3 linked regions of the Stegostoma tigrinum genome follow. The protein of the gene in region 1 purifies or fractionates together with the protein of each later gene. This does not show direct contact. Links are inferred from orthologs where the notes say so. Each region holds a gene or a part of one and is shown in the gene's direction. Other genes may lie near its edges. The genes, in order: aifm1, ndufs5 and OTU domain-containing protein 1.

Region 1 (10,612 bases):
GGTACGATCGAGGGAGAGACAGAGAGAGCAATGATGAGATCAGTTTGTGTGACAAAAAATACTGGATGGATGCATAGAAAAGATTTACAAGGATCGTGCCAGAGCTGGAGGGTTTGAGGAGAGGTTGAACCGGCTGCGGTTATTTTTCCCGGGGCGTCGGAGGCTCGAGGGATGACCTTATAGATGTTTCTAAAATCGCGAGGGGCATCGATAGAGTAAACAGACAAAGTCTTATTCCCAGGGCGGTGGAGTCACAAAACTCGAGGGCGAAGATTTGACGTGAGGAGGAGGATTTCAAAAGGACCTTAGTGGCAACTTTTTCAACAAAGGCTGATGAGTGTGTGCAGAACCAGCTTGCCGAGGAAGTAGTGGAGGCTGGTACAATTACAGCATTTAAAAGGTATCTGGATAGGTCAATGAATATGAGATAACAAGGTGTAGAGCTGGATGAACACAGCAGGCCAAGCAGCATCTGAGGAGCAGGAAGGCTGACATTTCGGGCCTAGACCTGTGATCTCAGATTCTCCAGCACTTGCAGTTCCTACTAACTCAGGTCAATGAATATGAAGGGTTTAGGGATATGGGCCAAATGCTGGCAAATGGGACTAGATTTGTTCAGGATATCTGGTCAGCAACGGATAACTTGTACCCCAAAGGGTCTGTTTCTGTGCTGTACAATTCTGACCTTATAAATGATTTCAAGGCAATAATCACATTTCAAAGTCATTTAAACAATTTTTTACTTAAATGACAGCAAAAGTAATAGATTCAGGCCTTGAACCTTCATGGTGTGCTTTGGCCAATCTGAGTCAACTTTTTCAGTCTCAATTGATCTGGTCATTGAAATTTGGTGTACTGATTTGTCCTGATAAATGTAACATTAAACTTTCGGCATCATCTTTTGCTGGGTCAAAATCCTGGAATTCCCTAAGGGCATTTTGGGTCTATGGACAGTACATGAATTGAAGAAAACAGCTCACAATCACCCTGTCAAGGGTAACCAGGAAGGCAATAAAAGTCAAACAGCCAACAATGGGCATGTCCAACAACTGAATTTTAAAAATGGTGTTTGTGGGCATAAACTAACATAAAGTACTTTCTGTGAAAAATTGTCATTCAGAATGAGTCCATTTTTACTCATGCTTTTCAACTTATTTTTAGAATATACAGAAACAGAAGAACATCAACATTTTTTTCTTTATTCATTCATAGGATGAGGGCATTGCTGGTGAGGCAGTATTTATTGCTCATCCTGAATTGCCTAGAAGGCAGTTTAGAGGCAACCACATTGCTGTGGGTCTAGAGTCACATGTAGGTCAGGTAAGGATGGCAGTTTCCCTCCCTAAAAAACATTAGTGAAAAAAATGAATTTTTTTCCTGCAACAGTCAACATTGGATTCACACTCTTTATTAGATTCTTAATTCCAGACGTTTATTAAATTCAAATTGCACCATCTGCTATGACAGGATTCAAACCTGGGTCCCCAGAACATTATCTGGGTCTCTAGATTAACACTCCAGTGATAATACCTCTAAGCCATCGCCGCCCTTTAGGAGCTGATGTAAGGTTTTCAGCCCTTCAAGCCTGCTCCAGCATTCAATATGATCACATCTGATATCCAACTCAATACCCTGTTTCTGATTTCTCCCCATACCTTTTGATTCCTTTAGCCCCAATAACAATATCTAAATCCTCCTGTAAATATTTCAATGTTTTGGCCTCAGATGTTTCCTGTGGCAAAGAATTTCATAAGCTCACCACTCTCTGGATGAAGAAACCTCTCCTCACTTCAGACCAAAATGGCCTTAAACTGTGACTCCTGGTGCTAGACTTGACAGTCATTGGTAACATAATTTTTGCATTTGTGCTAAATCCTGTTAGAATTGTGTTGGTTCCGATAAGATTCCCCTCATTCTTCCAAACTCCAGTGAATATCGTCATAATCCATCCAGCATGAAATCAGTCCTCCCATCCATGGAATTATATTGGTAAACCTTCAAAGAACTACCTTTATAGTCAGAACATCCTTCTTCAGAAGAGGAGACCAAAACTACATGCAATACTGCCGATACGGTTTTACCAAGGCCCTGTACTGCAGCAAGACATCACTCCTCCTGTGAAATATGACATCGTGCATGAGTCAGAGCTGTGGCAAAGGGTGCTGTGTCCTGAAAGGCAACAAAATAGTTGTGTAATAAAGTCATTAAGAAACCATACAAGAAGTGGAGGAAGTCTTGGAAACAAAGCTATTCATAGAATCATAGAATCCCTACATTGTGGAAACAGGACATTTGGCCCATCAAAACAACAGTGACCCTCCAAAGAGCTATCCAACCACACACACACCCTTATCCTATCTCTGTAAATATGCATTTCCCATGGCTAATCCACTTAGCACGTATTTTCCTGGACACTAGGGGCAATTTAGCATGGCCAATCCACCTAACCAACACATCGTTGGACTGTAGAAGGAAACCACAGTATCCAGAGGAAACCCACACAGGCACAGGGAGAATGTGCAGACTCCACACAGATAGTCGCCTGAGGCTGGAATTGAACGCAGATCCCTAGTTTTTGTGAGGTCACAGTGCTAACCACTGAGCACCAAGCAGCCCTTTCCCAACTTACATGTACTAGAAGAGATCTGGGCCGACTTTCAATCAGAATTTCATCTAAAACCATGAAAGTCAAGAACTCCCGTGTTGTCCAAATGATTGAGTGTGTCTCCTCAGAGGTTTTGCACGTGATTCAGTATAACAAGCACCAGCTCATCTCAGTCAAGGAGATCTAGAGGATTGTCCACCTTATGCTGCCAGGGAAATGGCCAAAGATGCTGTCTCGTTAGGCATAAAAGCAGACATCAAATGCACCAGCTTCTCTTAGGTCAACAATGTTAAAGAAAAATGATCTCTGCCCCTGTACTCCAATCTTCTCTCCATGAAGGCCAACAGACCACTTGCTTTCTTCACTTCCTACTCATGCCTGCATGCTTACTTTCAGTGACTGGCATCTGGTTGCTCCTCACACTTTCCCAATCTTCCATTCAGATGAAAATCTGTTTTTGCCACCAACGTTGATAACCTCACATTGTCCCACGTTGTACGTGAGCTGCTGTGCATTTGTCCACTCAGTTCACCTTGTCCAAATCACCCTTCAGCATCTCTGTATCCGCCTCACAGTTCCCCCTCCCACCCAGCCTTCGTGTTGTCTGCAAACCTGGACATTTAGTTTCCTCATCTAAATCATGAACGTTTATTATGAATAGGTGGGGGGAGGTGGTTGTCCAAGCACTCATCCCTGCAGTACCCCTGATTGCAGTCAGTTCCCGGCACTGGGGAAAATACTCGTTCTGAGGAAAGGGACACCAGACCCCGAAACAACAAAGTGAGGAGCTGGATGAACTGTGCAGGCCAAGCAGCATCTTGGGAGCACAAAAGCTGACATTTCGGGCCGAGACACTTCATCAGAAAAGGGGGATGGGGAGAGGATTCTGAAATAATTAGGGAGAGAGGGGGAGGTGGACCGAAGATGGATAGAGGAGAAGGCAAGTGGAGAGGAGAGTATGGGGAGGGGATAGGTCAGTCAGGGAGGATGGACAGGTCAAGGGGGCGGGATTGGGTTAGTAGGTAGGAAATGGACGTGCAGCTTGAGGTGGGAGAAAGGGATGGGTGAGAGGAAGAACAGGTTAGGCAGGCAGGGACGAGCTTGGCTGGTTTTGGGATGCAGTGGGGGGAGGGGAGATTTTGAAGCTGGTGAAATCCACATCGATACCATTGGGCTGCAGGGTTCCCAAGAGTAATATGAGATGCTGTTCCTGCAACCTTCGGGTGGCATCCTTGTGGCACTGCAGGAGGCTCAGGATGGACATGTCATCTAAGGAATGGGAGGGGGAGTTGAAATGGTTTGCGACTGGGAGATGTAGTTGTCTATTGCGAACCAAGTGGAGGTTTTCTGCAAAGCGGTCCCCAAGCCTCCGCGGGGTAGCCACACCGGGTACAGCAGATGCAGTATACCACACTGGCGGATGTGCAGGTCAACATCTGCTTGATGTGGAAAGTCATCTTGGGGCCTGGGATGGGGGTGAGAAAGGAGATCCGCATTTCCCACACTTCATGCCTCACACCCCGCCCCGGTAATAAGTGCCAAAAGAGAATCTCCCTCATCCTCACATACCACCCCACCAACCTCCGGATACAACGCATCATTCGCCGACACTTCCGCCATCTACAATCCAACTCCACCACTAAAGACATTTTTCCAACCCCACCCTTGTCTGCCTTCCGGAGAGACCACTCTCTCCGCGACTCCCTTGTCCGCTCCACACTCCCCTCCAGCCCCACCACACCCAGCACTTTCCCCTGCACCTCCTCTCTCACCCCTATCCCAGGCCCCAAGATGACTTTCCACATCAAGCAGATGTTCACCTGCACATCCACCAATGTGGTATATTGTATCCATTGTACCCGGTGTGGCTTCCTCTACATTGGGGAAACCAAGCAGAGGCTTGGGGACCGCTTTGCATAACACCTACGCTCGGTTCGTAATAAACAACTGCACGTCCCAGTCCCAAACCATTTCAACTGCCCCTCCCATTCCTTAGATGACATCCTGCAGTGCCATAACGTTGCAGGAACAGCACCTCATATTCCGCTTGGGAACCTTGCAGCCGAATGGTATCAATGTGGATTTCACAAGCTTCAAAATGTCCCATCCCCCCCAATCCATCCCAAAACCAGCCCAACTGGTCCGAGCCTGCCGAACGTGTTCTTCCTCTCACCGATCCCCTCCTCCCACTTCAAGCCACACCTCCATTTCCAACCTACAAACCTCATCCCGCCCCCTTGACCTGTCCGTACTGACCCAGCGATCCGCCTCCCCCCTTTCTCCCTATTTATTTCAGAACCCTCTCCCCATCCCTCTCTCTGATGAAGGGTCTAAGCCTGAAATATCAGCTTTTGTGCTCCTGAGATGCTGCTTGGTCTGCTGTGTTCATCCAGCTCTACGCTTTTGTTATCTCGGATTCTCCAGCATCTGCAGTTCCTATTATCCCGGACCCCGAAACGTTCACTCCGATTTTTCTTCTGCACAGACGCTGCCAGGATCTGTTAAACTTTTCCAGCAACGTCTCTAATCGACAGTATCTCAATTCTTTTGGGGAAGGGGGGGAGCGGAAGCTCTTCTCTTCTCCCGCTGCCTCTCGACGACTGTTGACATCTTCCCTCTGCCGGCCGCTAGGGGGTGAGAGCGCGGGCGGGTGCTGCCGCCGACGTGTCTGATCGGCGCCTGCGCGGAGACGGAGGGCCGGCTGAAGTTTGTGAGGGGGTGCGAGACGGCATTTTCTTTGTAGCGGTTGGGGGCGTGTGTTGTGGATGATGGCGGGGTAACGAGATTGACTGACCGATCGAGCCGGAACCATGCTGCGGACCAGGGCGACATGGCAGACGCTACTGCCGCTGAGCAGAGCGGCGTCGGTGCTAGTGAGGGGTAGCGCCAGGAAACGAGGTGAGGTGGGACGAGGGGACGGTTTGGCGGACAGCTGGCTGTAGGCCGCGGGTTTAGCTCTCGTCGCCGGGGCCAAGGTCGTGGGAAACCCCGCAGGCTATAAACTTTCTGCTTTTGGGGGCCCTTTCCCTCCCTTCCCCACTACTTGTCCCGTTCGTCCAAGTATGTGCCCTGAGCACCCTGCTGTTCACCTTGGCTTTCACTGGTAGGTCACAAACCAGAAGTTGCAGGCTGTGCCTTGAACTGCTTCTTCTCGCAATTGTTCACAAAGCATTAACTGGCCGAGCGGATCTGCCCGAGAAAATACTATTCTTTGGTATGTGTCCGTGTTTTTTGACCCCCCCCCTCTCCAAATCAGGTACAGCCGTTAGTTTTACGAAAGCTGTATAGGTCTCGCCTTGGCAGTTGGCACTTTCTTTACTGGTCCAAGGTCAGTGTCACCAAGAGCAACTCTATAAACCGGGAAGTCGCATTCCGTGCAAAAATCTTCCTGAACGTGGTGCAAAAGCAGATCGCTGCCGAGACCGGAGAGCTAAATCAAAAGCAAGATGCTCAACAGGTCACAGAAACAGAATTAACGTTTAAGTCCGAGATACCAAGGTGGAGAGCTGGATGAACACGGCGGGCCAAGCAGCATCAGAGGAACAGGAAGGCCGAGACCCTTTATTTAGAATATTTAGGTCCATAACTTGTCGACAAAGCCGGCGAGAAATACAACCGTAAAGTACGTGAAGATGCTAGAAAGTGAGGAAGGTAGGGACAAAAATCAATTTCTGTGAAGGTGTCGATGAGAGCAGTGTTTTCGATGCAGTATGTTTGGACGCCAGCTAGACTTTTGATCAGGTCCTGCATGGAATATTGGTAGCAAAGCTTAGAACCCATGGCACCTGAGGAAATTTGGCAAATTGGATGCTCGGCTGAATGGCAGGAAGTAGAAAGTTGTGTTGTTTTTCTGACTGGAAATCTGTCAAGTGGGGCTGAACAAGGTTTGGTTTTGGGACTCTTGCTGTTTGTACGTTATATAAATGATTTAGAGTTGAATGTAGGAGGGTTGGTCATTAAGATTATGTAATATAAAAATTGGGGTGATAAATGGTGAGGAGGATAGCCTTACATGTAAAGAAACTGGTCAAATGGGTTAAACAGGGGCAAATGGAATTCAGTCTGGGTAACTGTGCGGTGTATAAACAAGGCAAGGGAACACATGAATGAGGATACTGGCAAGTGCCAAGGATCAGAGGGATTGAGATGTGTATGTACACCAATCCCCAGAAAGTGGGAGCAAATTACTGCAGATGCTGGAACCTGTACTGAAAACAAAAAAACACTCTAGAAGTTACAGTGGACCAGGTAGCATCCACAGAGAGAGAGCAAGCTAATGTTTCAAGTCCAGATGACTGTTTTTCAGCGCTATAAGATGGGATTAGAATGGTGAAGTGACTGACTGTTTGTTTGTTTGTTTGTTTGTTTGTTTGTTTTTGACTGGTTAAGTGGCAGATGCGATGGGATGAAGAACCTTTTTCTGTATTGTACATCTCTGTGGTGGGATGAAACGACAGAAGAGACAATGACCAAGGCAAAAGAGTGGTAGTGAAACCAACGATCACCAGCCCATGATATTTGGATTAATGATTATGGGCAGTGTTTATGGTGTGAAAGTGTTAAATTTAATGTTAAGCCCAACATGTTGAAGATGTCTAATCAAAAAATGAGATTGTCTTCATTGAGATGCCCTTTGAACTTCATGTGATCAATATAAGAGGCTCAGGGTGGAGAGGGAGAGAATTAAGAAGGCAGGCAAGCAGGCACTCAAGATTACACTGGCAGACTGAATAAAGATGTCCTGCAAAGCAGTTTAGTATGTTCCTCTCACTAGTGGATTGGTGTATACACTGGTTAGTGTGCCATGGAAACAGTTGATGGTGTCAAGAGTGCATCAAGCTGTTGCAGAAGGACTGATAACAAAGTGTGGAGCTGGATGAACACAGCAGGCCAAGCAGCATCTCAGGAGCACAAAAGCTGACGTTTCAGGCCTCGACCCTTCATCGGAGAAGGGGATGGGGAGAGGGTTCTGGAATAAATAGGGAGAGACGGGAAGGCGGACCAAAGATGGCGAGAAAAGAAGATAGGTAGGGAGGGGATAGGCCAGTCCAGGGAAGACGGACAGGTCAAGGAGGTGGGATGAGGTTAGGTAGGAAATGGAGGTGCGGCTTGAGATGGGAGGAAGGGATGGGTGAGAGGAAGAACAGGTTAGGGAGGCAGAGACAGGCTGGGCTGGTTTTGGAATGCAGTGGGGGGGAGGGGATGAGCTGGGCTGGTTGTGTGATGCAGTGGGGGGAGGGGACGAACTGGGCTGGTTGTGGGATGCGGTGGGGGAAGGGGAGATTTTGAAGCTTGTGAAGTCCACATTGATACCATTGGGCTGCAGGGTTCCCAAGCGGAATATGAGTTGCTGTTCCTGCAACCTTCGGGTGGCATCCTTGTGGCACTGCAGGCGGCCCATGATGGACATGTCATCTGAAGAATGGGAGGGAGTTAAAATGGCTTGCGACTGGGAGGTGCAGTTGTTTATTGCGAACCGAGCTGAGGTGTTCTGCAGAGCGGTCCCCAAGCCTCCGCTCGGTTTCCCCAATGTAGAGGAAACCATACCGGGTACAATGGATTCAGTAACAGCTTTGCAGAACACCTCCGCTCGGTTTGCAATAAACAACTGCACCTCCAAGTCGTGAACCATTTTAACTCCCCCTCCCATTCTTCAGATGACATGTCCATCATGGGCCTCCTGCAGTGCCACAAGGATGCCACCCGAAGGTTGCAGGAACAGCAACTCATATTCCACTTGGGAACCCTGCAGCCCAATGGTATCAATGTGGACTTCACCAGCTTCAAAATCTCCCCTTCCCCCACCGCATCCCACAACCTGCCCAGTTCATCCCCTCCCCCCACTGTATCACACAACCAGCCCAGCCTGTCTCTGCCTCCCTAACCTGTTCTTCCTCTCACCCATCCCTTCCTCCCATCTCAAGCCGCACCTCCATTTCCTACCTACTAACCTCATCCCACCTCCTTGACCTGTCCGGCTTCCCTGGTCTGACCTATCCCCTCCCTACCTCCCCACCTCCCCACCTATAGTCTCCTCTCCACCTATTTTGTTTTCCCTCCATCTTCATTCCGCCTACCCCTCTCTCTATTTATTCCAGAACCCTCCCCCCATCCCCCTGTCTGATGAAGGGTCGAGGCCTGAAACGTCAGCTTTTGTGCTCCTGAGATGCTGCTTGGCCTGCTGTGTTCATCCAGCTCCACACTTTTTGTTATCTTGGATTCTCCAGCATCTGCAGTTCCCATTATCTCTGTTGCAGAAGGACTACTCACTTTGCAATAATGATCAAGATGGTGGGCAGAGCAAAAGCGTGGTGGTGTGCTACAGGAATTGCATGAAATCTGGAGAATGACCTATTGAAAATGGTAGAAGGTAAGGACAAGAGAAACGTAGAGTCATGGAGGGATGGAAAAGGGTGAAGCAGAAATGTGGAAATGAGATGGATACAGTCAAGGGCCCTTTCAAAAACAGTGCTAAATGCTCATTAGTTTTATGTTAAGTGATCAATTCTAGACATTTTCTCACAATTACAAAAGAATGTGAGAAGTGGTGGACCCATATTCACCTTAAATTTGCTCCACTACTAAGTAATATCAATGATCATCTGATTTTTGTGTCAATTGCTGTTTCATCCTTTATTGTCTACGACCATTGGTTGTTAGTTGAAAAATCAGTGTTTCTCACGTAATCCTTCAGCTCTTTAAGTAAATATTTCCAAAAGAATCATGTTTCTTTGAGAAATGAAATTCCCCCTGATCTCCATCTTAAATCAACAACATATTATTTTGCAACTATGCCCCCTTTTATCAATTCCTCTATGGGGGCAGTTTTCTCAGTATCTACAATGCCCAGTGACCTTACAATCTTGTGATTCAATAGATCACTTCTCATTCTTCTAAACTCCACTGAGAATAGGCCTGACCTGCTTAATCTTGCCTCCCTCCTTTCACGAAGTGGCATTAAACTTACTGTTTCCCAACTTGCAGGAACTCTTCTTTTAGGATTACAGCCAGTGCATACACAATTTCTATAGCCATTTATGTTTAGGCCATCAGACTATCACGCCCAGGAGACATTTGTGAACCTTTAGTTCCAAATATGTGTCTCATAGTTTTTCTTCAGGGACAATTTTTGTTTTGTTCCTTCCAAATAATGTTAGTGCATAGTTAGTTTATCTTTCTCTCCAAATGGCAGCAGTGTATAGGGTACGGCACACTCCCCTTTGAGTTACTAGTTTGTGCATTCAAGCTGCAATCTTGCACTTAGTGCGTAATCTCTGCTTGCAGCATTGAGTCAATGTTACATTGTTGATAGCGTCCTTCAGATAAGTTCTTAAAAAAATGGGGTGCCGCAGTGGCTCACTGGTTAGCACTACTGCCTCACAGTGCCATGGACCTGGGTTCAGGTCCAGCGTTGGGTGACTATTTGTTTGTGTGGAGTTTACATGCTCTCCCCGATGTGGGCGTGAATTTCCTCCAGGTGCTCTGGTTTCCTCCCACAGTCCAAAGATGTGCAGCTTAGGTGGATTAGTCATACTAAATTGTCAGTAGTGCCCAGGGATGTGTAGGTTAGTTGGATTTGCCATGGTAGGTGTGGGGGTTATAGGGATAGTGTGGTGGTCTGAGTCTGGGTGGGATGCTCTTCACACGGTCAAAATGGACTTGATGGACTGAATGACCTGCTTCCATACTGTAGGGATTCTCATCAAGGATCTGGGTTCTCGGGTGAGTGTGAAGATCTCCATGGCATTATTTGAAGATTTTAATTGCTGTGTTGGCTGCTGTTTATCACTCATAAATATCAGATATTGACTATCTGATCATTTATTTTGTTGCCACTTGTGAGACTTTGAGTACAGTTTGGGTGGGGGCATTTGTGGTGCCGTGGTAATGCTTCTACTTCTGAGCCAGGAGATCTGGGTTGAACTCCCACTTGCTCCAAAGGTGTGTCAATGCATGTAAACAGGCTAATTAGAAAATATTCTGTACAGTTTGGATACTGCACTTCCC
Region 2 (10,544 bases), on another chromosome or scaffold:
GTTAGAGAGAGGTGGGCACCACGAGGGATACCATGTGTTATTTCCCCCCCAAATCCATTTTTATTTGGCTTAAGCCATTCTCCCTATTTGTCCCCGTCTTGGCTGGTGAGCTTTGCATATAAGTGAAGCACAGGTGATTTTCTAGTGGCAGTTAATATCTAAAAAAAAAGTCATGGTGATTTGATGGTGATAAAGCCATTCAGTTGAATGTAGGTGCACTTCCAGATAGAGAAAACAAAAAAAGGACAACAAAGATATAAAGCAGACTCATGCCCAGGCAGTGGGCAGTAGGAGGGGAAAGCAGAGAGTCATTTCTATTGACTGTTTGGTCCTCTTCTCTGGCTATGTTCATGTAAGTGAGGGGGGCACCCTTCACTCTGTTGATGATCAAAAGTGGACTGATGGGGCAGCAAGTGGGCTGGTTGGACTTCTTCTGTTTTTTGCATACAAGATTTTTCTGGGAAATTTTCCACATTGTCGTTGTACTCGAACAACTTGGATAGGAGTTCACTATGTTCTGGAGCCCGCATCTTCAGTCCTATTTTTGAAAGTTGTCAGGGCCATAGCCTTTACTTCATCCAGTGTCTTCAGCCTGTTTGTGGATATTATATGGAGTGAATCAAATTTGCTAAAGACTGACATCTGTAAAGAATTACGGACGTTATGGTCCCAGTTTGTAAGGGAGTATTTTGCTGTTTAAACCCTTTCTACAGTTTGTTCTGCCACAGAATAGGTGACTGTCTTTAAGAGGGTAGCACTTTGGGAGGGCACTGGGGGACAAGAAAAGCCAAATGGCTGGATACTACATTCTGACACCTCCTTTTATTTGATTGCAGAGCAGAATTGGTGAACGCATTCTGTGGGATAAGATGTATGGCCCCTTGGAGGAGAGAAGTAGACAAACTGGGAGAAATAGAACACACTATGACAATCCATTAATTCACTCAATCTGAGACACAAGATAAGATTCCATCCTAATTTAGATTTATTATTTAAAACGGTAAAAGCAAGCAATTGTCAAATTCATATGAAAAGTTTTGTCACTTTGTGTAGTCATGAACGTGTTTGTCTGCTGCCCCATTGTGGTGGTTATAAGGAACTGTTATTGCTTTTCACTCATTGGATGACATTTGGTTTAAGAGGAATTGGGAGGAATTGTCCATGCATCCGGATAAGCTGAGACTGCATTAAAATGGAATTAATAAGATGTAAGTTTTAAAATGCTAACAACTGATGCTGTAGTGCAATGAAGAGAACCATCACTTTGAGAAAAGAATGATTTAAAAGTTGAACCAGAGAAAGACCTTACATTTACATAATGCTTTTCATACTCTCATAATATTTTGTAGCAATCGAGATTCATTTTTAAAGTTTATCAATATTGTTTTGTTTGGACATGTGACCCCAATTCACATAAAACCTAAAGTCTGCCTACAAGAGTCAATAAGAACATGCAGACCAGCTCCATGTTTCAAATGTTATCTTCATCTGTACAGAGTACAGTTTGGCAAACTCTTCAAAGCCTACTTATTCCACTTTACTTGATAAGTGTATTTGGATAGTCTTCCCACATTAAGTGCAGGAGGGAAATTGCAGTCAAAATATATTTGACATTACATTGGCTCAAGTTGCAGTTTAACTTTCTGTTAACATTAATTTGCATAATCACAAACAAAGATCTTCAATGAAGCCCCACAATTAGGCAGCATATAAGAAAGAAATCATACTTTTTCCATAAGATGTATTCCTTAGGTTACTTTAGAGTGATAACCAGGTGAAGTTTAATCATTTGACTGAAAACTGGTTTAACACCAAAGTGATTATTTTAGGGTGTTCATTCCACCAGCTGTAAGTCCCCAATTTAAAATGACTGAAAATTATTTTAAAAGTATACTGAACACTTTCATTATCTGATTAGAGCACACCATTCAGTCTCTTTGTAAATTACACATTTTGTGACGAGAAAAAATATCTAAAGTAGAACTACTCATGCCTGTACACTGAAGAAATTTGATCAGATTTCAAGAACTTTCCTGAATCATCCATATTTTGAAATTTTGATCTAGCCTTTGCAATAGAGGCCTAATCCAAGCTCCTTGAATCTTGAGGCGTGGGTTACAGAAAACATTAATGTAAGTGGTTTTAAATGTAACCAACATTGAAAATTCTCTGATCTTTTGCAACTGTTTGGCCAATTCTGCTTGGATTCAACTGATTTTGCAAGAGTCTTGAGTCAGATTATTCACAGAAGACAATAAAATCTCTCAAAGCTGGAACACGCTAAAATATTGAGGAGTCCACCATCATACTATGATAATTTCCAGTCAAATCTTTATCCCTGGGCAACAATCATTGACAAGAAATGTTGTCAGCTAATGTTTTCTGCCTCAAGAAATAGGTTTCTGTATTTAAAGCAATAGGTATGTATGAAATGCGACTACAGTTGCCTTGAAAGCTTTATCTGAAACGACATGTCATTGATTTATGTGAATAGTAGACTGATGAGTATACTGCCTATATTTAGAAAGGAAATAAATCAAACCCAGGTACTTCCAACCACATTAGCCTTACATCAACAGTAAGAACAATACTGGAACTATATTCAGAAACAGACTGGACAGACGCCTCGATATTAATAGCTTTATAAGTAACAGCTGGCACAGATTTAGAAAGTTTAATCCTGCTTGACCATTTTGAGAATGTTACAAATGACATCCTTTGCACCCTTGACAAAGTTTTACACAAAAGAAACTGGATCTTGTAACCCAAGGGAGGTCAGGGTCAGGGATAATGGGAACTGCAGATGCTGGAGAATCCGAGACAACAAAGTTTAGAGCTGGATGAAAACAGCAGGCCAAGCAGCATCAGAGGAGCACAAAAGCTGACGTTTCAGGCCTAGAGGTCAGTGTCACATTTTTAAACAAAATGCAGTTATTTGTCAAGTGCAGTCGGGTGCTTTGGGAAGCATCTTGGGGGTGGCACGGTGGCTCAGTGGTTAGCACTGCAGCCTCACAGCGCCAGGGACCTGGGTTCAATTCCAGCCTCAGGCAACTGTCTGTGTGGAGTTTGCACGTTCTCCCCGTGTCTGCGTGGGTTTCCTCCCACAGTCCAAAGATGTGCAGGTTAGGTGGATTGGCCATGCAAAATTGCCCATAGTGTACAGGGGTGTGTGTGTTATGGGGGATGGGTCTGGTTAGGACGCTCCAAAGGGCGGTGTGGACTTGTTGGGCCAAAGGGCCTGTTTCCACACTGTAGGAAACCTAATCTAATGTAATCTAATCTAATCTCCACTCTGTGGTAGGGATGGATAGATCAGTCAGAATCTCTCAGCCTGGTGCGGGAGTCTCCCAGCATGGCATGACAACTTTCCAGCCTCCTTCAGTAGCCTCCTGGCATGACATGTCACCGGCGCAGTGTGGAGCCAAGCCCAGTGTGGGCTGAAAGCTCAGTGCCAACATGGTCTGTTGTCCTGAACTCCTTTCTATAATGCTGGGACATTTTACTTCTGTATTGTCTAAAATCCTGTAACTAAAGGAGCTATGCCTAGGTACTTTTGTATCTAAGTTAGCGCTGTAATTGGTGCCTTATAAACTTTTCATGATACTTATTGAGTATACATGACACTTTGGAGCACACGGCCAGCCTTCATCAGAATACTACTGCCAGGAAACTGTATGCTTGACTAGGCACCTAGTTTGTGGATTGAACAAGGCTGGCTACTAACTCATACTCTGAGTTCATATATTGTGAGGTTACATGGATGCTGACAGCATCTCTGCTTTGCATTGCCTCACCTTTTTGCACTTTGCCGCTCAGTTAGCTCCAACAGGCTCACAGGCCTTCTGTCTTGCCTTGCCTTTTAACTCAGACACAAGGCCAGGCAGTCTGCCATGGTGGTCAGCAATGATCAGTAAAGGGAGTGGAAGTGTCGAGTAGTGTTTGCACCAAACATACTGCGCGTGCCTCAAACAAATGGACATATCTTGAAGTCTAAGAGGAGTAGTTCTCATTCAAATCAAGGGAGACAACCTTCAGTCAGGAATTTCCAACACATAAGTCAAAGGCAGTCTTCAATATCAATCGCAAGGCCTTGGGCAGCGTCGATTTGTCACTTGAGTGGACATGGTCATGATCCTCCGTATTGCAGGGATGAAGAACAGAATGTCACACACCACCCAGCTATTTTGCTTCTTTCTGCCTTACCATGGGCTGTTTTCTTCTGTAATGAGAGAAAGGGAGGGATTGAGTGAGATGCAAGCTGAATGCTCCAGCTGTTGGCTACAGGTGGTAGAAAGCAGTGAGGCGTGCTGACTGAGTGGGCAGTAAGCAGTGCAGAGGCCATGTGGAGTTACTGCTGTGGGGGTTGGGCTGGGTGAGAGCTAGCGAGGAAAAATGTTGGGTGTAATGGCGAAAGAGGTAGAGCACGAACCTTGGTGGGTACAGTAGAAGAGATACAATGAGGGGTGAGGTGGCAGAGAGAAGATGGTAGCACTCAGCCTGCATGAAGACAGAAATTTACCGCCCTTTTTCACACACTGCTGGACATTTCTGAAATGGCTGAGACTGCACTGACCCAGATGGTCACCTCAACCTCAGCTGGCAGCTGTTGGTGAACCCAAACCTGGAGTATTGTGTCCAATTTTGGTCTCCTTACTTCAGGAAGGATGTCATGACGGTTCTGACGATGCTCACCAGATTGATTCCAGGGATGAAAGGGCTATTGTAAGAGGAGCAGTTGAATAGCTAGGGCTTATCTTCACTGGACTTCAGAACAATGAGGTCGTGTCTGATTGGTGTATAAAACGCTAAAGGGGATTGATAAGGTAGATATTGATCAGAAGCTCCCCCGTGTAGGACAGTCTCAAGCAAGAGGCGATAGATGTAGAGTGAGAGAAGGTTGGTTCAAAACTAAGATGGGGAGAAACTACTTCCCTGAGAGGGTTGTGGATCTGTGGAATTCACGGTCTCTAGTGCAGTGGAGGCAATATCAATCAACAGATTAATGAAAGAAATAGATATGTTTCAGATGAAAAACAGTATAAAGGGCTATGGGGAGCAGGGAGGAGAGTGGAGTTGGGACAAGGATAAGATCAGCCATGATCATGTTTACTGGTGGAGTGGGCTCAAAAAGCTGAATTGTTTACTCCAGTTCCTAATTGCTCTATTAGGCTGGGGGTGGCAGAATTAAAACAGAGATGAGGAAGAATTTCTTCTCTCAGAGGGTCGTGCATTTATAGAATTTATTACTACAGAATGTGGTAGATGCCAAGATGCAGGATTAATTTAAGGAGGAGACACAGATTTTTAGTTGTTTTTGGGTTAATAGGCTTGAGGAGCAGGGAGGAAAATGGAGTTGGGGCCAAGGGGAGATTATACTGAAATGACAGACAAGCGTGACGGGCTCAGTGACTGACTCCTACCCCTGGTTCTTACTTATGCTTCAAAATTACACCAATGGTGATGGATGTGATTCATGTTCTGACTCAGCGAGACAATAACATCCTCACCCCAAGATTAGAAGGCAATGGCAAGCCACCACTGTCAAAAACTACAATACACATCTAGCTCAGAATGCAGCATCAGCAGACAATTCAAAAACCTTTCCTTCACAGTACACACGAATGAATGAATGAACATCAAAACCACAGCATGGCTGTAAATCTAACGTTATGATCATAAAGATAATAACGACTCCACGGGACCAATTGACACCTTCTCCTTGATCCACTGACTTGCGCACTTTGGGTTCAGAGCAGTTCGCAGTGTGCGACTGCGCTCCGGCTCCAGGGGGCAGCAGAGCTCCATGCGGTGAAGGGTGAAAATGGTAAATCGCGCTCCTGTTTTACGGCAGGCCGACAAGTGGAGCTGCGTGCGCGGAAGAGCAGAGGACGTTTGGGAGGTGAGAGAGAGGCCTGGGCGGTCAGGATCGAAGGAACAGAGGGCAGGAAGGGGTGTGGGCGGTGGGGAAGGGGTAACGCAAGCAGGGTGAGGGTGGCAGGATCTGGGGGAGCCAAGGAGGTGGTGGCGGCAGTTGGAGGAGAGTTCTTGCTGAAGGTGAGAAATGTGGCAGAAAACCGCAAGAACGGCGGATGCTGGAAATCGGGAATAAAAACAGAAATTTCTGGAAAAGCCCTGCGGGTCTGGCAGTATCTGTGGAGAGAAACCAGAGTCACCTTCAGATAACAAACTGTGGAGCTGGATGAACACAGCAGGCCCAGCAGCATCTCAGGAGCACAAAAGCTGACGTTTCGGGCCTAGACCCTTCATCAGAGAGGGGGATGGGGGGAGGGAACTGGAATAAATAGGGAGAGAGGGGGAGGCAGACCGAAGATGGAGAGTAAAGAAGATAGGTGGAGAGAGTATAGGTGGGGAGGTAGGGAGGGGATAGGTCAGTCCAGGGAAGACGGACAGGTCAAGGAGGTGGGATGAGGTTAGTAGGAGATGGAGGTGCGGTTTGGGGTGGGAGGAAGGGATGGGTGAGAGGAAGAACCGGTTAGGGAGGCAGAGACAGGTTGGACTGGTTTTGGGATGCAGTGGGTGGAGGGGAAGAGCTGGGTTGGTTGTGTGGTGCAGTGGGGGGAGGGGACGAACTGGGCTGGTTTTGGGATGCGGTGGGGGAAGGGGAGATTTTGAAGCTGAAGTCCACATTGATACCATATGGCTGCAGGGTTCCCAAGCGGAATATGAGTTGCTATTCCTGCAACCTTCGGGTGGCATCATTGTGGCACTGCAGGAGGCCCATGCTGGACATGTCATCTAAAGAATGGGAGGGGGAGTTAAAATGGTTCGCGACTGGGAGGTGCAGTTGTTTGTTGCGAACTGAGCGGAGGTGTTCTGCAAAGCGGTCCCCAAGCCTCCACTTGGTTTCCCCAATGTAGAGAAAGCCACACCAGGTGCAATGGATACAATATGCCACATTGGCAGATGTACAGGTGAACCTCTGCTTAATATGGAAAGTCATCTTGGGGCCTGGGATAGGGGTGAGGGAGGAGGTGTGGGGGCAAGTGTAGCACTTCGTGCGGTTGCAGGGGAAGGTGTCGGGTGCGGTGGGGTTGGAGGGCAGTGTGGAGCGAACAAGGGAGTCACTGAGAGAGTGGTCTCTCCGGAAAGCAGACAAGGGTGGGGATGGAAAAATGTCTTGGGTAATGGGGTCGGATTGTAGACGGTGGAAGTGTCGGAGGATGAGGCGTTGTATCCAGAGGTTGGTGGGGTGGTGTGTGAGAACGAGGCGGATCCTCTTTGGGCAGTTGTGGCGGGGACAGGGTGTGAGGGATGTGTAGCGGGAAATGCGGGCGACGCGGTCAAGGGCGTCCTTGATCACTGTGGGGGGGATGTTGCGGTCCTTGAAGAACTTGGACATCTGGGATGTGCGGGAGTGGAATGTCTTATCGTGGGAGCAGATGCAGCGGAGGCGGAGGAATTGGGAATAGGGGATGGAATTTTTGCAGGAGGGTGGGTGGGAGGAGGTGTAATCTAGGTAGCTGTGGGAGTCGGTGGGCTTGAAATGGACATCAGTTACAAGCTGGTTGCCTGAGATGGAGACTGAGAGGCCCAGGAAGGTGAGGGATGTGCTGGAGATGGCCCAGGTGAACTGAAGGTTGGGGTGGAAGGTGTTGGTGAAGTAGATGAACTGTTCGAGCTCCCCTGGGGAGCAAGAGGTGGCACCGATACAGTCATCAATGTAACGGAGGAAGAGGTGGGGTTTGGGAATATCTTTCGATTCCTCCCACTTCCTACAGCTAAAGGGGGTGGCCATGGGCACCCACATGGGCCCCAGCTATGCCTGCCTCTTTATAGGATACATGGGACAGTCCCACTTCTTCTCTCTGTGACTCCCTTGTTCGCTCCACACTGCCCTCCAACCCCACTACACCCGGCACCTTCCCCTGCAACCGCACGAAGTGCTACACTTGCCCCCACACGTCCTCCCTCACCCCTATCCCAGGCCCCAAGATGACTTTCCATATTAAGCAGAGGTTCACCTGCACATCTGCCAATGTGGTATACTGTATCCACTGTACCCGGTGTGGCTTCCTCTACATTGGGGAAACCAAGCGGAGACTTGGGGACCGCTTTGCAGAACACTTCCGCTCAGTTTGCAATAAACAACTGCACCGCCCAGTCAAGAACCATTTTAACTCCCCCTCCCATTCTTGAGATAACATGTCCATCATGGGCCTCCTGCAGTGCCACAATGATGCCACCCAAAGGTTGCAGGAATAGCAACTCGTATTCCGCTTGGGAACCCTGCAGCCCAATGGTATCAATGTGGACTTCACCAGCTTCAAAATCTCCCCTTCCCCCACCGCATCCCAAAACCAGCCCAGTTCGTCCCCTCCCCCCACTGCACCACACAACCAGCCCAGCTCTTCCCTTCCCCCCCACTACATTCCAAAACCAGCCCAGCCTGTCTCTGCCTCCCTAACCTATTCTTCCTCTCACCCATCCCTTCCTCCCACTCCAAGCCGCACCTCCATTTCCTGCCTACTAACCTCATCCCACCTCCTTGACCTGTCCGTCTTCCCTGGACTGACCTATCCCCTCCCTACTTACCCACCTATACTCTCCTCTCCACCTATCTTCTTTTCTCTCCATCTTCGGTCCGCCTCCCCCTCTCTCCCTATTTATTCCAGAACCCTCACCCCCATCCCCCTCTCTCTGATGAAGGGTCCAGACCGGAAACATCAGCTTTTGTGCTCCTAAGATGCTGTTTGGCCTGCTGTGTTCATCCAGCTCCACACTGTTATCTTGGATTCTCCAGCATCTGCAGTTCCCATTATCACCTGCGGACAACTTGTCTGAGGAAGGGTCACTGGGCCCAAAACTTTAACTCTGATCTCTCTCTCCAGCAGATGTTGCCAGACCTGCTGAGTTTCTCCAGGAATTTCTGCTCTTGTGTGTTGGAATATGGCAGTTTTAAAGAGAGACAGAGTGAGAGCGCCCAGAATGTTGATTGCTGAGAGTTGGAAAGGTGAAGAGGCTGTAAGTGTAGGAGGTGGTTTAGTTAATTTTTTTTTTAAAAAATCAATTAACTGAAAGACAGTGCTGGATGGTTTCATTAAGGTAAACTTGGAAAGATAGTGGGGCCCAGTGAGCTCTGGAAACCGTAGGCCACTTTATAGATGTTGTTATAGAATCCCTACAATGTGGAAACAGACCATTCGGCCCAACAAGTCCACACTGACCCTCAGAGCATCCACCCGGACCCATCCCCCTTTCAATCTACACATCCCTGAACACAGGGCAACTTAGCATGGCTAATCCACCTCGCATGTACATTGTTAGACTGTGGGAGGAAACCCATGCAGACATGGGGAGAATGTGCAAGCTCCACACAGACAGTCACCTGAGACTGGAATCGAACCCAGGTCCCTGGAAATGTGAGGCAGCAGTGCTAACCACTTGATATCTTTAAAACTAAGAGTAACAGTAATAAGAGTAGTTCAATAATGCAGTGGATGCCACACACTTGGATTGCTAAGGTACAATGTGGTAGATGTTTGTCTGCAGTGTAAGTATATGAAGTTGGTAAGCTAATGAGAAAACAGTATGAAGGTTAAAGATATTTCTTCAGACTGGCAGAAGCTAGGCGTGATTTGGGTCTGAACTAGCCATTTCCTGTTTAAGCATGTGGACAATGGATTCTGAAATCCAATTTCAAAACTTGTAGAGGATGCCAAATTGTAGCAGTGGTTAATACAAAGAAAGAATGTGACCAAATGCAACAAGATTGTAATACCTTTACAGAATAGATGTGTAAATGACAAACAAATTACAATATGGTTACAAAGAGTTGAAGAACAACAGTATCCCTGTTGTTAAAAGGAGCCCTGGAAATTAACACGCCCAGTGATTAGGTGATACATTTTCCCAATAACACATCACATAGATATACCGCCCTTAGATGTACTGCTCAGTGACAGCAGGGAGTGCCAACTACAAGATGCACTGCAGAGTCACACTAAGGATCTTCAATGACCTAAAAAAAACCTTTACAGACCCGGAAACTAGGAATCCTGCACATTCTTGCCTGACTTGATGTTGTGTTACTCTTACGCCAGTATATCTGGTCAAAGTCCCGGAATTCATTTCCCAACAGCAGTGCAGATGCCTCCACCCCGAGGTCTGTAGTTGCTCAAGAGCGTGGCTCTAAGCCAATTAGGGATCAGCTGTATTTGTGATATGCTGCACCTTGTTCTGTAAGTTAGTCACTGTGAAAACAATTATTTACTAAAATTTAACCTATTGCTTCCTTCTGCTTGTGCGTGTATTTATTTATTCTGGTCTCCTTAATCTATGTAGATTGTTCCACATGTCCACCTAAGCCAATTCTAATCCTTTCATTATTTTAAAAATTTTAATCTATCCAGGTGTTTGTTTTTAAAAACAGTTTTTAGGCCTAGTCATAACTGAAGACCTTTGAACAAAGTATTGTTCCAGTGGCCCTCCACTGAACCTTGGCCAGGGCCTTTGTCATCATCAGCAGCTGAAGGATCTTTGTCTGGGAGCAGTAACTATAAACAGCCCTGTTTTTAGATTTAAGT
Region 3 (11,276 bases), on another chromosome or scaffold:
ATAAAACATGGGAGCAGAAGTTAGGCTTTTTGGCCCATCAAGTCTTCTGCGCCATTCAGTCATGGCTGATACGTTTCTCAAGCCCATTCTCCAGCTTTCTCCCTATAATTGTTGATTCCCTTGACATTCAAGAAACTATGTATCTCCATTTCAAATGTACTCAATAACCTGCCCTCCACAGCCTTGTGTGGCAGTGAATTCCATTACCACTCTCTGGCTGAAGAGGTTTCTCCTTATCTCTGCTCTAAAAGGCCTTCCCTTTATTCTAAGGCTGTGCGCTTGGGTCCTACTCTCTTCTACCAATGGAAACATCTTCCCAACTCTGTTCAGGCCATTCAGTATTCTGTAAGTTTCAATTAAATCCCTCCTCATCCTTCTAAACTTCATCGAGGATACATGTAGAGTTCGCAAACATTCCTCATTTGTTAAGCTTTTCATTCCTGGGACCGTTCTCGTGAACCTCCTCTGAACCCACTCAAGGGCCAGTATATCTTGTCTGAAATATGGGGCCCAAAACTGTGCACAATACTTGAAATGTGGCCTGCCCAGAGCCTTACACAGCCTCAGTAGTACATCCCTGCTTTTATATTCATGTCGTCTCAAAATAAATGCTAAGGTTGCATTTGCCTTCCTAATTACTGACTCAACTTGCAAGTTTATCTTGAGAGAATGCTGGACTAGAAATCCCAAGTCTCTTTGCACTTCATACTTTTGAATTTTCTCCCCATTTAGAAAATAGTCCATACCTCAATTCTTACCAAGGTGCATGATCTCACACCTTCCAATGTTGTATTCCATCTGCCACTTTTTTGTCCACTCTCCTAACTCATCCAAATCCTTCTGCATCCTCCCCACATCTTCAGTACTACCTATCGCTCTATCTATCCTGGTATTGTCTGCAAATTTAGCCAGAATGCCCTCAGTTCCTTCATCTATATCAGTAATGTATAAAGTGAAAAGTTGTGATCCCAACACTGACCCTTGTGGAACACCACTTGTTACCAGCCGCCATCCTGATAAAGACCCTTTTAAACCCACACTCTGGCTCTCTGGTAGAAAACAATCTTCTATCCATACTAGCACCTGGCCTCTAAAACCGTGGGCCCTTATCTTACTCAGCAGTCTCCTGTGCGGCACCTTGTCAAAGGCCTTCTGGAAGCCCAGGTAGTTAACATCCCTTGGCTCTCGTTGGTCCAACCTGCTCATTACTTCCTCAAAGAATTCGAACAAATTTATCAGGCATGACCTCCCCTTGATGATGCCGTGCACATCCAAGTATTCAGAAATCTCATCCTTCATAGTTGTGGCACTGCAGGAGGTCCAGGATGGACATGTCGTCTGAGGAATGCGAGGGGGAGTTGAAATGGTTCGTGACTGGGAGGTGTACTTGTTTGGTGCGAACCGAGCATAGGTGTTCTGCAAAGTGGTCCCCAAGTCTCCGCTTGGTTTCCCCAATGTAGAGGTAGCCACAACAGGTACAGGGATGCAGTATACCACATTGGCAGATGTGCAGATGAACATCTGCTTGATGTGGAAAGTCATCTGGGGGCTTGGGATGTGGGTGAGGGATGAGATGTGGGTGCAAGTGTAACACTTCCTGCAGCTGCATTGGAAAGTGCCGGGTGTTTTGGGGTTGCAGGAGAGTGTGGAGCGGACAAGGGAGACCAGGAGAGAGTGGTCACTATGGAAAGTAGACGAGGGTGGGGATGGAAATATGTCTTTGGTGGTGGGGTCGGATTGTAGATGATGGAAGTGTCAGACGATGATTGTGCCACAATGATGCTACCCGAATGTTGCAGGAACAGCAACTCATATTCCGCTTGGGAACCCTGCAGGCTAATGGTATCAGGGTGGATTTCACAAGCTTCAAAATCTCCCCGCCTCCCCACTGCATCCCAAAACCAGCTCAGCTTGTCCCCGTCTCCCTAACCTGTTCTTCCTCTCATTTATCCCCTCCTCCCACCTCAAGCTGCACATCCATTTCCTACCTATTAACCTCATCCTGCCCCCTTGACCTGCCCGTCCTCTCCAGACTGACCTCCCTCCCTACCTCCCCACCCATACTCTCCTGTTCATCTATCTTCTCCTCTTTCCATTTGCAATCTGTCTCTCCCTCTCTCCCTATTTATTTCAGAACCCTCTCCCCATCCCCCTTTTCTGATGAAGGGTCTAGGCCCGAAACATCAGCTTTTGTGCTCCTAAGATGCTGCTTGGCCTGCTGTGTTCATCCAGCTCCACACTTTGTTATCTCGGATTCTCCAGCATCTGTAGTTCCCATTATCTCCTATCTGACTAGAGTTTTTTTGAGAACATTTCAATCAGGGTAGATTGAGGCAAACACTTTTCAGGTTTAAACCCCATCTGCCACTTCTCAGCCCAACTCTGCATCCTATCAGTGTCCTTTTGTAACCTAGAGCAGCCCTCCGCATTATCCACAATTCGACTCACCTTCATATCATCTGCAAGCTTACTAGTCCACCCTTCCACTCCTACATCCAAATCATTTACAAAAATCACAAATAGAAGGAGGACCCAGAACAGATCCTATAACAGTCCTATATCACCCAGGCCTGTCAACTATACTTCAACACAGGTCACATGACCCCTTCATGTTTACCCATACTTAAACATAACGCCCCAAAACATTGTGATCTTGTAAATGTCCTAATTGATTTGCTTTAACTCCTGAGCATCTTTCTTTAACCTATTTGAAGTTATGAACAATTCTTTTAATGAAAACCAGAAGAACTGCAAATGCTGTAAATCAGGAGCAAAAACAGTTATGAAGGGTCTAGGCCTGAAACGTCAGCTTTTGTGCTCCTGAGATGCTGCTTGGCCTGCTGTGTTCATCCAGCTTCACACTTTATTATCTTGCTGGAAAAGCTCAGCAGGTCTGGCAACATCTGTGAAGGAGAAAACAGAGTTAACGTTTCAGGTCCGGTGGCCCTTCCTCAGAACTCCCTCAGTTCCGAGGGAGGGTCAGCAGACCGAAAAGGTTAACTGTTTTCTCCTTCACAGATGCTGCCAGACCTGCTGAGCTTTTCCAGCAACTTTGTTTTTGTTCTTGAATTATTTGAATGACTTTGTACCAAAGAATCAAGTGCTATATACCATTGATGTTTTTTAGGTAACAATTCTAAAATATTTAGAAGTGATCGAGTTCCAAGGAAGAGTCATATCAAACTTAAAATGTTGACTCTGTTTCTCTCTCCACAGATGCTATCAGGCCTGCTGAATTTATCTAGAGCTTTCGTTTTGATTTTAGATCTTCAGCATCTGTAGTAGTTTGTTTGAATTTTACAGAAGCAGCTAATACCTAAAGGCAGAAATCAGCCCATCCTCTTGTAGCTCTGTTTCTGTTACAGATTTGTTTTAACCACTGATGGGATTCACTTACTTGAGACAAGTTTGTAAGTGCCGCTCCAGCAAAAGTGAACTTAATAATTCTCCAACAATGAAACAACAATGCTGTAAAATATCACTTTCAAAACCAGACTCTCAATATGTTTTCATCAGACCTTTTCATTCTTCTGTAATTTCATAATAACCCCTTGAAAAATGGCTTAATGGCTAGTTTTAACCATTTGTGCTTTCGCCCCAGATGTCCTGTGCAAGGATACCATTTAAAATGGAGTACTCCATTTTAAGTTTTCAGAACTTTTTTGAGTTCAATAATTTTAGGGCCTAAACTCTCCCGTGTCCCAGCCCCTATGCCAACACACCAAGCCTTGTTACCACACAGCCGTCCATTACATACTACCTGTTATTGGTCACTAATAGTCCCCATTAACAACTATTCACCCTCCCAGACTGATCATTTTCACCTTTGTCTGTCCAACTGGTCTTTTCTCTCTTCCTATTGTTCACTCTCTACCCCATCCCTCTCCCCTTTATTCTGCATATAAACTGACATTTTCCCAGCCACCGTCAGTTCTGAGGAAGGGTCACCGGATCCGAAACATTAACTCTAATTTTCCTTCACAGATGCTGCCAGACCTGCTGAACTTTACTAGCAACTTTGTTTTTGTCCTGTGTTTTACACCATTTTAATACATTACTGAACTGAGTTATGACAAATTTATATAATGCATACCAATGAGCAAATGGCCCCGCAACCTGTGCTGATAGATAATCCTTGAACTGTGAATCACCTAAAATTGCTTAGTGAAAGCAATGCCTCCCACTTACAAGGAATTTCATAACATCACTGGATTTGCACATTAAAGTCAGGACAGTTTAGCCGAACTCGTCCTCACCCTCAACAACTTCTCTTTCAATTCCTCCCACTTTCTATAGACAAAGGGGGTGGCCAAGGGTGCCCACATGAGACCAAGCTATGCCTGCCTCTTTGCAGGATACATGGAACAATCTCTCTTCCGTACCTACACTGGCCCTAATCCCTCTCTCTTCCTCTGTTACATTTATGACAATTGGCGGCACGTCGTGCTCCCGTGAGTTCATCCACTTCACCAACACCTTCCACCCCAACCTTAAGATCACTTGGACCATCTCTAATACCTCTCTCTCCCCATCTCCAGCAACCACCTAGAAACCGATATCCATTTCAAGCCTACCGACTCCCACAGATATCTAGAATACACCTCCTCCAACCCACCTTTCTGCAAAAAATGCCATCCTCTATTCCCAATTCCTTCGCCTCCGCTGCATCTGCTCCCAGGATGAGGCATTCCACTCCCATACATCTCAAATGACCTCGTTTTTCAAGGACTGCAGCTTCCCCCCTGTCAGTGGTCGAGAACGCCCTTGACCGTGTCTCCCGCATTTCCCACAACTCATCCGTCACACCCCTCCTCACAATAAAAAACAAAACAGAATCCCCCTCGTCCTTACATACCACTACACCAACCACCGGATCCAACGCATCATCCTCCGACACTTCTGCCATCTGCAATCCAACCCAGACATTTTTCCCTCCCAGCCCTTATCTGCCTTCTGGAAGGACCACTCTCTCTGTGAATCCCTTGTCTGCTCCACATTCCCCTCCAGCTCCACCACACCCGACACATTTCCCTGCAACCGCTAGAATTGCTACACCTGCCGCCACACCTCACCCCCATCCCAGGCCCCAAGATGACTTTCCACCTGAAGCAGATGTTCATCTGCACATCTGCCAATGTGGTATACTGCATTCGCTGTTCCAGTTGTGGCCTCCTCTACATTGGGGAAACCAAGTGGAGACTTGGGGACTGCTTTGCAGAACACCTATGCTTGGTTTGCACTAAACAACTGCACCTCCCAGTTGTGAACCATTTCAACTTCCCATCCCATTCCGCAGACGACATGTCCATCCTGGGCCTCCTGCAGTGCCACGACGATGCCACCCAAAGGTTGCAGGAACAGCAACTCATATTCTGCTTGGGAACCCTGCAGCCCAGTGGTATCAATGTGGACTTCACAAGCTTCAAGATCTTTCCTCCCCCTACCGCATCCCAAAACCAGCCCAGTTCTACCAGCCTTCTTAACTTGTCCTTCCTCCCACCTATCCCCCCGCCCACCTCCATCCCCATCCCCATCCCCATCTCCTACTTACTCACCTCATCCCACCCCCTTGACCTGTCCGTCCTCCCTGGACTGACCTGTTTCGTCCCTCCCTCCCCACCTACATTCACCCTGACTGGTCTATCCCCACCTCTTTGACCAGTCTGTCTCCTCTCCACCTATCTTCCCCTCTATCCATTTTCTGTCCGCCTCCCCCTCGCTCCTTATTTATTTCAGAACCCCCTTCCCCATTTCTGAAGAAGGGTCTAGGCCTGGAAGGTCAGCTTTCCTGCTCCTGTGAGGCTGCTTGGCCAGATGTGTTCATCCAGCTCTATACCTTGTTCTCATAGAAAGACAAATGTACCATTTTAGTGATTGCCAATCAACCTCTACGACTTGGAAATTAACAATAAAATATTTTGATCCTCATTACTCAGGAATTTTTCCAATTGCTGTTGTTTTTAAAATAGTCTAAAATATCTTATATTTCCCATCTGCCTGTCATTTCTGTCTGTCCATCCAGTTTTCCTTTCTTCTGGATTTCTCTTTTCCAGGGACACAACATTTTTTCCTCAGTGCGGCCAATTGAATATTTACAAGCAAAGCCTGTTAAGGGCAATGCTAACATCAAAAAGTGAGGGGGTGAGTGTTTTGGGATGGGGAAAGAGGACTAAATCAAAATCGAATTGGAGGGGGAAATAATGTACTATATTTCCTGTGGTGCATGGATTCCTCTTTCTGTACCTGATTTGACATTGAATTCAGCTGGTTCAGACTTCCTGTTTATTCCTCAATCCTTTAATCCTATTTATTATAGTGATACATTATTGGCCCCTCAGTCATCAAGTTCCCAGATTACCTGTCGCCACAACTTTGGACCTAACACCTTAGGGCAGAAATGAAGCAGTTGTGTTGAAGAGGGATAGTGTGAGGCAAAATGGTGGATAGATCTTTAAGAGGAGTGGGGGTTGGGTATTTGTGGAGAGATTAGTGCTCGGTTGGGGTGCGACCAGGAGAGGATGCAAAAGATGGTGGGATGCATGAGGAGATTACTAGGTTAGGAAACTGGATAAGAGGTGAATGGCATAAAGAAACTGGAGGAGAATGGGAAGGTGGGGGAGCAGGAGACAGCAAAATGGATGGCTGTTGGTTGGTGTAGACCGGAAGGGAGAGACACGGGCGGGCGTGGGGCGGGTGGGTTTTAGAGACCGAAAAAAGGTGGGAATGGAGGGTCTGAAAGTCTAGAAGAAGTAGTAGGAAGGGAGGAGTTGAGAGAACAGAAAAACGGATGGAAACAGGACAAGAAGCCTGGGGGAAGGGTTAAGAGAGAGGGAGTATTGAAGGGGAGAGGATTAGCACTGAAGATGGGGTGGCAGTGGCCTGAAGTGATTTGGAACTGGCGGTGATTGACCCGGGGTAGTCCGGCGGAGGGCGGTTATGCCACAACCCCCCCGCCCCCCCGTTTCTGGCGCTCACATTCCAGCATGCTGAGACAACGACTGGCAGTAAACGAGTGCAGGCCGCCCAAAAGGGGAGGGACCAGGGGAGGAAACGGGGAAAAAAAAGCCGAGTGCTTTCCAGAAAGGTCTCGGCCTGAACGATGCACCTTTTATGCGGAGAAATCTCCCGTCTTTAGTGGAGCGGCGCTGACGTAATGGGGATCAAGTTAGGCCTGAGTGTCGCAGTTGCAATTAGAGCGGCCGGCGGGAGGGTGTGAACGAGGTGTCGGAGCCTGTGTCCAATCTCCTCGTATCCGCGGCTTTAGGCTGTACCGGGAGCTGGTGATGACAGCCGCTATTTTTAACTACCATCATCAGCCCGAGGCCGCTATAAAAGGGGCCGCAGCTGCGACATGCACTATTACAGCAGCGTCTTAACGCACTATCCCGGCACCGCCTTCAAAGTCTCCATTCCAGCGGCGGAGAAAGCGCCTGTCGAGGGCCCGAGTTTCGGAGTGAAGACTGAGCCCACCGCCGCCTCTTCCTCTGCCGCCTCCTCCTCCTCCTCTACCACCACCGCCGCCATGCCCGCCTTCTCGTCATGCGAACTGCTGCCCCCGGGCCCGGCTCCGTCTCCGGCCTCGCTCCTCTATACTTCCACCGCCAGGATTCCCCTGCGGCCTCTCGAGAGGATGGTGCCGATCCAGATCTTGAGCGACAGAACGCAGGCCGAGCCCCCGGTGCCGGGCCATCAGGGACGGGGTGTCTGGACCGAGGACATCCTGACGGAAGGATCGCGGAAGGCTTCAGCCCGGATCCTGGGCGATGGCCAGCAAGAGCGGGCAGTGACGGACTTACAGCCCGCCTCGGAAGGGCCGGAGACCGCCTTCAACCCGCCGGATGGTGACAGCACCGAGCGGGAGTACCAGGACTGGGTCGGGCCGGGTCCCGAGTCCCGGGCTACGGAGGCGGCTGAACAGAGCAGCAGCAGTGCCTGGGAATTCGACGGTGGCTTCAGGACCGTGGACCTGGTGGTGGAGAACAAGGCGGACAGAAACGACAAAGTGGCTCGTTACCTGGCAGAAGTGGAGAAGCAAAATAGTTACCTGCGGGAGCGACAAAAATACCGGTTCCATATTATTCCAGACGGCAACTGTTTGTACAGGGCCGTCAGTAAAGCTGTATACGGTGACCAGAACATGCACAAGGAACTGAGAGAAGAAACTGTCCATCACATCGCAGATCACTTGGACGAGTTTAACCCCATCATCGAAGGGGACATTGGGGAGTTTTTAATCAACGCTGCCCAGGATGGAGCCTGGGCTGGTTACCCAGAGCTGCTTACTATGAGTCAAATGCTGAACATTAACATATACTTGACCACAGGGGGTAGCCTGGAAAGCCCAACAGTTTCCACTATGGTGCATTGTCTTGGCCCAGAAGATCAATCAAAATCCAGCATATGGCTGAGTTGGTTGAGCAATGGACACTACGACGCTGTGTTTGATCAGTCTCTACCTAATCCAGAGTATGAAACCTGGTGCACAAAAACACATGTTCAGAGGAAACGAGATGAAGAATTAGCAAAGTCCATGGCAGCTTCTCTTTCAAAAATGTACATTGAGCAAAATGGCTGTTTTTAAATGACTTTCCTCCCAAGCAGTACTATTCATAAACATTTCAGATCAGGACCTAAGATTCCCTGCATAAGCTGATGAAACTGATATGAGCAAGGCTAGTAAGAAGTACAAATGTAAAGATTGTTAATATGGTTTTTATTTATTTATATGCTTACACATTGATTGGGCTAACAGCACTTTAAAATGGATCATAAAATCAACTCTAAGTAATGCCTTAATTAAATGTGTGAATACCTAGATGTTTTACCAAATGTTTGAGCTCAAACTAATGAAGGTTGCGGGGCACCTGAATTTTTAAATCAGGCTTATTGCAGATAAGAGACCATAGGATTGAATGGGACTGCATTGTCTCATTAAGCATGTGTTTTTTTTAATTAAAATCTTAATCTTCTGATGTTTGGAAAGCAACTGATGTTTAATCTCTGCTTTGGAGAGTTTTTATTCTGAATGGGGTTTTTTTAAAGATGTTTTATTGCAATTTTTTGCAATTGCTGGTTTGTTATTGTCATATCTCCTTCATTACGTTCTTGTATTTGGTATTCTGGCAGGTAGCTAATTGCCACCTTGATTTTTCTAATTGGTTAGAATAGAGATTTTAGATCTTTTAAAGTTTAGCTACAATTACTAACGTTATTACTGTCTGTTTCTTGCCATTTCACTGACTTTTATACGCTGTCCAAGATGTATTGACATCCAAAAGTGGTTTGCAGGGTCAAACTTGTAACCAGTTTGCAATTACTGTATTTGTATTGATTGTGAAGTTATTAATCAACATGGAATGAATTAAAACTATATAACATTTCACAAACAGCTGTCAGAGACTAAATGTTTCATACTCCTGTTCTTAACAGAAGCAGAGGGCCTTGATTATGACACTCCAGTAAAATATCACTTTAATATTCTGCAAAGCTCAATCTATATGTGTGTACCGAGTTTAAACTCTCTCTAATTAAACCTCAAGTTTCAATGCCAATAAAAGTTGGTAATTAGATTATTCAAACCAGAAGACGTTTTTAAAAATTGGATGATATTTTTGAACAGGCTACACTAATTATTAATAAATCTAAAGAATGGAGGAGAAACCTTCAGCTTGGTTACTCTGAGCATCTCTACCACATGGACCAGCTACCGATTTTAAAAATTGGTGGGGTAATTTTTCTGCATATTGTGTAGTGCATGAAACTATTAAATCAACACTTCAACTACCAGCTGGTAACTACTGTACAAAACCCAGTACATAAAGTGCAACATTTATAAAGTATACTGTAGTCTGAATGCACTCAATGTCATGTACTTTGCCATTAACTTACAATAAGTAGCTTTTTAGGAAGTAAGTTATGATTTTATGCTTTCAGAGAGTATCTCTGAAAGCATATGGAAGGAGGTTCAGTTGTGTTTACCAATGGGAAATGGTGTATGCTTGCAAAGCAGTGTTACAGGTGAGGGGGAACGTGCAGGCAAGTGAAGTTCATTGGATAGCTTTTCAAGAGCTAGTTCAAGTCTTCTGTGCTGTATAATACTATGATTTTTTTTTTGTCCTGAAATGGATTAATGTAAATAGTTTATGCCAGTAGAATTTCCCAGTATCTGCAAGCTCTTTGTCTAGGCTGTTAAACCAAAACCTGATTACATATAATGCTTGCTCGTTGCTTGTCAGGTGGCTCCACAGTCTCTTCAACTATGTAAGTGCAGTTGAACCACCTTTGGAGATGACAAAACAATAACACTTCTATCTGGACAACATGTACTCCATTGAAATGTTGATCAATCTTGTAACAAATACTGGAGCCCTTTGTGGCCAAAGGGAAAACAACTGCCATGGGTAACTGAGTAGTGCCTCTGTTTTGCCTTGTGTATTGGCCATAAAACTAAAGCAGAGATAATAGAACTTTCTGAAGATTTAGGCCTGAAACGTCAGCTTTCCTGCACCTCTGATGCTGCTTGGCATGCTGTGTTATCTCAACTAAAGCAGAATAGCTTTAGCGCCTTATTTTGCTGCAAGGCACTGCAACTAAAGTTGTACAATTGAACCCATAGAGTAACCATGTTTGTTAAATGATAATTACAACCTAAAGTGAATTTCTATGGCCTGTTGACAATGGAAACCAGTGAATGTCACAGGATCTTTCTCAAAGGTCTGTAACTTGTACATTTTTAAGAACAAATTAAAATCGCAAAATGTCAAAGGCAATTTTTTAAAAGTATTCTGATTACCAGCCCCCTCAAGCTTCAGAAGATAGCACAGCTTCAGAATCTCAAGTTACTTATTCATTTCTGCAGCCATACAGAAAAGCCTATATGCCACTACTTCAAGATCCAAACTTAAGTTATATGAAAACCATAAATCTCATGGTCTGTTACCTTGCCAAAGGCAAAAGAATACCTGGCAAATTACTGAGAATGTGATATATACCTATGTATGAAACATATAAAAATGATTATGATTTACATTTCTCTCAGGAAATGATACAATCTTTATAAAATAAATAAGGCCTGATTTGAAGAATTTACCTTTTCTCCCCTCATGAGCTGTAGTAGTTTTTTTGTTTGGGGTGGGGTGGGGGTTGGTGATGTGGAGGATTCAGTTGCATGAAAAAGTTATGGAGAACATTAAACTAGGAAGGTTCAGCAGAAATTTTAATGAAGTTGCATCAACAATTAATAGAACACAGTGTGAAAACAGTCAGGAATCTAACTT

Evidence for each region.
Region 2: the proteins of aifm1 (region 1) and ndufs5 purify together in Homo sapiens (affinity purification with mass spectrometry; 3 studies listed by BioGRID and IntAct, with this or other methods). This does not show direct contact. The link is inferred for Stegostoma tigrinum from reciprocal best matches to the Homo sapiens genes AIFM1 and NDUFS5.
Region 3: the proteins of aifm1 (region 1) and OTU domain-containing protein 1 purify together in Homo sapiens (affinity purification with mass spectrometry; 3 studies listed by BioGRID, with this or other methods). This does not show direct contact. The link is inferred for Stegostoma tigrinum from reciprocal best matches to the Homo sapiens genes AIFM1 and OTUD1.

The regions. Positions count from the first base shown.
Region 1 is NC_081368.1:61,396,971-61,407,582, reverse strand, and holds the start of aifm1 (apoptosis-inducing factor 1, mitochondrial), read left to right. Parts: upstream 1-5,267; 5' UTR 5,268-5,415; coding exon 5,416-5,503; intron 5,504-8,950; exon of another isoform or gene 8,951-8,965; coding exon of another isoform or gene 8,966-8,975; intron 8,976-10,612. UniProt on the Homo sapiens protein: Functions both as NADH oxidoreductase and as regulator of apoptosis.
Region 2 is NC_081377.1:19,978,504-19,989,047, forward strand, and holds the start of ndufs5 (NADH dehydrogenase [ubiquinone] iron-sulfur protein 5), read left to right. Parts: upstream 1-5,789; 5' UTR 5,790-5,899; intron 5,900-5,922; exon of another isoform or gene 5,923-6,054; intron 6,055-10,544. UniProt on the Homo sapiens protein: Accessory subunit of the mitochondrial membrane respiratory chain NADH dehydrogenase (Complex I), that is believed not to be involved in catalysis. Complex I functions in the transfer of electrons from NADH to the respiratory chain.
Region 3 is NC_081355.1:119,874,296-119,885,571, forward strand, and holds OTU domain-containing protein 1, read left to right. Parts: upstream 1-6,955; 5' UTR 6,956-7,351; coding exon 7,352-8,581; 3' UTR 8,582-9,386; downstream 9,387-11,276. UniProt on the Homo sapiens protein: Deubiquitinating enzyme that specifically hydrolyzes 'Lys-63'-linked polyubiquitin to monoubiquitin.